Linked DNA regions of Saccharomyces cerevisiae S288C. The gene in region 2 interacts genetically with the main gene of each other region. Each region holds a gene or a part of one and is shown on either strand. Other genes may lie near its edges.

What was found.
Region 1: mutations in CMS1 (region 2) and NOP6 together harm fitness more than expected from each alone (negative genetic interaction), as found in Saccharomyces cerevisiae (2 studies listed by BioGRID).

What each region holds. Positions count from the first base shown.
Region 1 is NC_001136.10:76,543-79,841, forward strand, and holds NOP6 (Nop6p), read right to left. Parts: upstream 1,425-3,299; coding exon 747-1,424; downstream 1-746. Other genes in the region: serine/threonine protein kinase PRR2, read right to left, coding at 1-3; SHR3 (Shr3p), read left to right, coding at 1,884-2,516; YDL211C (uncharacterized protein), read right to left, coding at 2,752-3,299. UniProt on the Saccharomyces cerevisiae protein: Predicted to be involved in rRNA processing.
Region 2 is NC_001144.5:156,108-159,423, forward strand, and holds CMS1 (Cms1p), read right to left. Parts: upstream 1,624-3,316; coding exon 748-1,623; downstream 1-747. Other genes in the region: NOC3 (Noc3p), read right to left, coding at 1-227; THI73 (Thi73p), read right to left, coding at 1,827-3,316. UniProt on the Saccharomyces cerevisiae protein: May play a role in the regulation of DNA replication and cell cycle control.

The DNA.
Region 1 (3,299 bases), on a different chromosome or scaffold from region 2:
CATCACTCCGTATGATAAGTAAAAGGATTACGTACGCTATTGTGAACGTTTTTGCAATCTATCTAGTTTTTCCTATTAACTTTTTTCTTTTCAAAAATTCATAAAGGCAAGGAAATATGTTCCGATTGACAATAAGTTCAGTGAGTGAATGAATGTTAATGAAAAGAATTCAATTTCCAGATTTTCGTATTTATTTTTTTTTTTTGCACCTTTCCTTATTGTGTGACCACAGCCGAAGGTGACGAAGGGATGGAGACTAGCCAAAGAGAGCCGGCTGTTAGACAAAAAAAAAAGCGGAGATTGTTTAACGGATACGTCTTAATAAGCAATCCGGCAGCACCGAGAATGTTTTTACCCTCTGTCCTTTTTCTTGGCGTTCCTATAATTCAAATAACCCCCAATATGCTAACAGCCGTAACCTTAAATGTTAGACATGTTACCCCTGTACGTCATTGCGGGGGGAGTGCATTGATTAAGGGGTAGTAGTAAAAATTCCCACCGGACTTGAAGTGCGGAAAAGTAGCTCCGATTTGGGGAAAAAAAAGTACCAGCCGTCTCGTCTTTCATGATAAAGTGAAATAGAGCAGCGGTAATAATGCGGCGCTATTGCTTCCGGAAGAGTTTACGTATTGGGCATCTTTGCCATTTCTTTTTTTGGCAGTAGCATGATTCTGCACGATTATTTATGTTTTTCCCTTTATTTTCTTTTTGTCTAAGATACATGGCGTATAAAATTAAATTTGTACTCATTTAAGTAGTTTGGCTCTATCAGGATGAATTCCTGCAGGAACAGGCTTGTTGTCTGTTCCAGAGGTTTGAGCTGCAGTGGCGGTAGTTTTGGCGATTTTCTTTTGGTTGCCGTCGTTAATCATCTTTGTCAACCTCTCTTTACGTTCTTCATCCAACTTGATGTTTTTGTTTTTCAATTTTTCTAGACGCTCTTGACTGTTACCACCTCCGCCAACAGTTAGCTCGACATTGATCTTCTTCTCTTTCAGTAAGGTCCCATGTTGTAATAAGGCAATGTCCATACGTCTTTGAATGCCGGTGCGATCTTTGTCAGCATCGAATTCCAAAAATGCAATACCTTTGTCAGCTCTGAGGCGGATCTGGTCGGGTGAACTATTTTTAAAATGGTTTTGCAATTCAACAGCAGTGATGTCTCTAGGTAAGCTACCGACAAAGACAATAAATCTGTTGCCCTTTTTACCATTTTTGCCCTTACCACCACGGCCTCTACGTGTTTTTCTTTTTTTCTTCACGGGTTCTTCACCATCATTTCCGGCTGCACTGTTGGGTCTTTTTCCTTCTGGTGCTTGCTCTTTTTTTACGTCTTTCTCTTGATCTTTTTCCTCCTTACTTTTTCTAAACTGCTGAGCTTTGAGCTGCTTCTTGGTCAACTTTTTATCTTCCTCGGACCCCATTTTAGCTGTAGACGTCTTCAATCTCTATCCTGTCCTCTACATTAGATTACTTTCTCATTTTCTCAGAAAACCTTTTAAGCTCATCGATTAAGAAGAAAAAAATCTTAGAAAATTTTCAGGAATGCCGGGTAAACGTATGGGGAAAGGACTTGGTGAATCGAGTTAATGTGGAGTTCGTAATAATAGTACTCTCATACCAAGTTTTCCATCCATAATTGTTTTTGGTTGCCGTTACTTTACACCATCACCTTTCGCCAATGTAATTGGTGGCTCTTTCCCTCTCCATCTTTTTTTATAATGTACTAAAATTAATACACGATAACAATTTTTTCGGGTTGTGTAAAAACTCTGAAAAATATAAAAAGTTGATGAAAGGACAGATTTAAGTATTTTGGAAGACAGCCGTAAATTCATTGGACTACAGAGCATAAAATCCCGTGATACGATAAAACTCTAACGATGTTCTCATATTCAGATTTCTGTTCTATCGGTACGGCCATGATCTTATCGGCCACAACGTTCCTAATGGGTGTTTTCTTCAGTAACATGCCATACGATTATCATCTTTTATTTAATCCTAACTCTACTCAAGAGCATTTCGATTTGGCACTGAGACATTACCAAATTTTACATGAGACTCCATTGCCGGTGATTGTTACTTTGTGCGTTGTTGCCGGTATTGGCTTAGTTGGTGGTACAATTAAGGTTTTCAAGCCAAACCCTGAACTGCAGATGTTTGAGTATTGTTCATTGGGGTTGTACGTGTTGGCTATCTGTGTGTTTCTCACTAATGTGAAAACAGGTATCGACTGTTCTGTGAGCCATAATTGGGGAGAAGTTACGGAAAATCAGGGTTTGGCAGTTATTGCTTCCTCCAACATAATTTTATTAGTTATGTTTGCCGGTGTTATCATCCTACAAATTGGTTTGTGGTACAGTAACTGGGATTTGCAAAAAAGATTAAAGGAGTTTTATGCTCAAGAAGAAAGAGAAGCTGCCAATGCCGGTAAAAAGACTGAGAAAGTTGACAATGCGAAAAAGAATGATAACAAATCTAAAGGTGCTCAAAAGAGGAAGAACGCCAAAAAATAGGCCATAATATTTTTAACATTTTCTCTTTTTGTCCCTCTTTTCCCGTCTGTGACGAAACAGACGATTATACGAATCTAGTTGTATAGTAAGATCAATATTTATTATATAAATACTGTTGAATAAATAAAACTCTATCTGCTTCGTGCATAAATTTACAAATAATTCCAAAGAAATAGCAACAAGTACCAGCCTTGTTTAGAAGTACGAAAATCTTGGAATCCACTTTTTTCTATTTTTAAATAATTTCTCTCAAAAAGCTATTGGTTTGCTGAATATTTGGCCGAGTAATAGTAGACGCACTGGAACTTGTTTCTTCAATGGATGACTCCGCAGATTCATTGTATGACGATACGTATGAAAATCTCCCGGATTCGTGATCCGCCATCCCATAATAAGGATGTGCTATATATATACCGTCTGAGGAACTAGCTCTGTGTAAATCTCTACCATTTTCAAAGGAATCTCGTTTGCCCTCGCCGTTGGTTGTTACTTTATAATTAAGGACATTTAGGAACGGATTTGACGGTGCTTCTGTTTCTGTTACCTCATCACAACTTACCCTCTTGCCAATATCATGGCTAAAGCCCTTTTTGCTGTGATTTTTCACGTTTCGTCTGTTTCTAATAATTATGAATCCGATAAAAATTACTATTACAACTCCAATGACAACTCCAACCGTAGAACCGACAATAACTCCGGTCCTTCTATTATTGGCATCTGAGGTATCTTGAGTGTTTAGTGCACCAGATAGATATTGATAAAGTTTAGCATCCCCGGTAATGG
Region 2 (3,316 bases):
AGGCCTTCAACAAGATTTGATGTATCAGACCGATTCTTCCGAGGAACCATTTCGTAATCCTGTTCTTCTTCATCCCAGGATGAGCCTTTTGCGCTATATATGGTATTTTCATCCATATCTTCCGGTGCATTTTGGAAAACATTGCCTTCTAACAAGGAATCTTCGTGCTTTCTTTTCTTTGCAGTCCTTTCCTGAATGCGAAATTGAGATCTATTTCTCTTAGCCATTATTACTATGATATCTCCAGCTTTTATCCCGGAATTATACTCTTATGATTGAAGACATAAAATGCCAAGTTTATACCATGAAAATACTATATATGGCAGGCAGGTGAATGAGATGAGATAAAATTTTCAGTTTTCGGGCATCGCTGAAAAAATTCAAAAACTAAAGTAAAACGACGTCCCATGGTCTACTCTACGGTGAAGAAAATGAGGGAAGACATTGAATTTCTGAATCTAAGTAACTACAAAAAAGCATACACTCCATGGAAAGAGTAAAATAGGATAAATTGGTTTTATGTAGTTAAAGAAAAAATACATTGTTATATATGGAGTTTGCTGCGCGCCTAGGCGTTCTCGAAGTTTCTCCTTTGATTTTACTTTTTGGAAGGGCTTTGGACAATTTAAAGAAGATAATTTGAAGTACCCCATCAAATGCTAGAATGAAATATTTAATATACTAAATTAAGGCTGGTATTTAAAAACGTAATCTTATGTGTAGAACCTCAGTGAAAAAGCGCTATTATTAATATAACAGTATTTTCACGGAGCTTTTTTTATTCAAAAAGGTTTTCAAGACTTGGCAGAGGACGGCTGCATTCTCGAATGATAATATAGTATTATCCTTAGGATCTAAATAACTTGCATCAAGAATGATATCTAACTTTTCCTTACCTTGGAAAAGTAAGTCAGTAGCTTCTATAATTTTCTGCATTCTTGTTGGAGTGGCAATAAAATATAGTGAATCTTTATTTTTGTTTGATTTTTTAGAGCTGTCAGTAAGTAAACGTTCCACGGTGGCTATGTCATCCTTTAGTTTACTTTTAGAGAATAATTTGACGCAATTTTTGCCACCGTTTAGACTACGATAAACGTCTGCTACTCTAATATTAGACATAGAAAAAACAATTTTTTTTGGAGCTACGGAAAATTTTTGAATAAAGGCTGGGAAATTGCTTAATCTGCGTTCAGCGTCAAATTTTTCTGTCGAAAGAAAATCATTTCTTTTGAAGTAAAGTTCCTCTAATTCTAAAACACTCAAGTCAGGATTTTTTTCTCGTATCAAAGTTGTTAGGTACTCAATAATTTTTTCTGGTGAACTTGCTGGAAGTGCTTTTCGTTGTGAGACGATATACTGGCTTTCCTCTTTCTTTTTCTCAATTAGCTTTGATTTTTTCTGTAGCTTTTTCTGTCTTTTCGAAATAGGTCTATTCGAATCATCTTCTGAATTTCTCTCCTCTTTTTTCCCATCTATATCATCAACGTCATCGTCATCTTGTTCTATAGACCTCTTTTGTACCTTTTTGGTTGGGGGACTACCATCCTTGGCGTCAAAAATTACTTCATGTTCGGCATCAAAATCATAGGCGAGTCCATCATCTAAATCATCTGGATTAGACATTTTCAGCTCAATTGTCCTGACGATATGTTTAGAAGTTAGTAGCGGGGATCAAATTTCGACTTTCATTGCCTCATCCATGGTCATCTCAAAAATTTTCTCTTCAATTTTTTGGTAAATACCAAGTGCAATGAATGTTTGGGTGTCTTTGAATATTGAATATTACAGACTAAAAATATTATATATTGTAAATTAAAAGTTGATTATTAGTAAATGTACCTGAAATTTCTGTTTTCGATATCAGTCAAGTCCAAAAATTGGTACTTCTTCCTTTCTTGACCTTCTTGTTCCTTATCACGCTTTTCGTTCTCCTTCTTGCAAATGTAGCCAATGTATAATTGTAGGGGAACACAAACACACTGAGTGACCAATAAGGCAATCTTTGCTGGTATGTAACGTGGAGCAGAGTATGCCCTAAACATCTGTGGAGCAATAATACAGGAGACATTGTATACAATCATTGTAATAGCATTTCTAAAAACTCTTTTGGTGTAACCGGAGGTGTTGCATGAATTCCAGATGTAAATATTGGTAATGACACAGGAACCACTGTAAAGCAAGTACAGAGAAAATAAGTTACCGATCTTATGGGATAAGGGTAAACTGATAAGAACGATACAACCTATAATAGCTGGAATATACATAGATGTGGTTATGAGTGTGATATGACCCCAGCGGGACAACATTTGAGTTGTTATAAGAATAATCATAGCCGTAATGGCACCAATAGGCAACTGCAGTAATGCTGTTTCGTACTTGTCGAAACCAAAAGTACCAGTGATGGTCACTGAAAATGTACCAATGGCACCAGTAGAAATTTGAGAACATGCAGTTAATAAAAGCATCGGCCAAGTAAACTTATCATGAAGGAATAGTTCTTTAACTTGCTGCTTCTTAAACTTCTTTGTTTCCAGGCCAGTTTGGTTAGCTCTGATATGCTCAACAACTTGAATTTTTTCCTCTTTGTTTAGGAACCAAGCATTGGTGACGTTATCTGGAAGGTATAAGAATGTTAGAACACCAAACGCAACTGTAACCAGACCAACGACCAAAAACATTATTTGCCAAGAGGTGAAAGCGGTACCATGATAATGTAAAAAGCCAAAAGAAATTAACCCGCCCACAATATAACCTGTACCAGCCTGTGTGGCCCAGAATCCAATTCTTGCACTCTGTTCAGATTTAGTATAGTACATACCACTAATAGCGATACAACCAACTGCACTCGAGGATTCAAAGAGACCTAGGAGAGTACGAACGACCATCAACGAGGCGTACGTCTTACAAGCAGCATGGCAAGCCAACACGATACCCCAGACGGTAATAAAAGTACCTAGGATTTTGGAAATGGGGAATTTTTGAATTAAGTAAGTGACCACAGGTTCCATGAAAATGTAAGCAGCAGAAAAGATAGTACCCAAATTAGAAAATTCGTTACCTTTCAAATGATCTTTGATACCCATAGATGCAGCGTAGTTCAGCAGAGCCTTATCCAAAAACATCAGAAGATATGTACAGCATAAAAAGGGCAGGATGAAGAGGTCAACTTTTCTCAGGACCTTAGGAGATAATTCATGGGAACCATAGAAGTTGGCTTCTTCGCCTGCTACAACATCGTCTTCATTAGCCGTGGAGCTTTCGTCGAGACCGTTCTGTTTCAGGAATCTTAAAGCAACGTCCGCATCGTCTACATTAA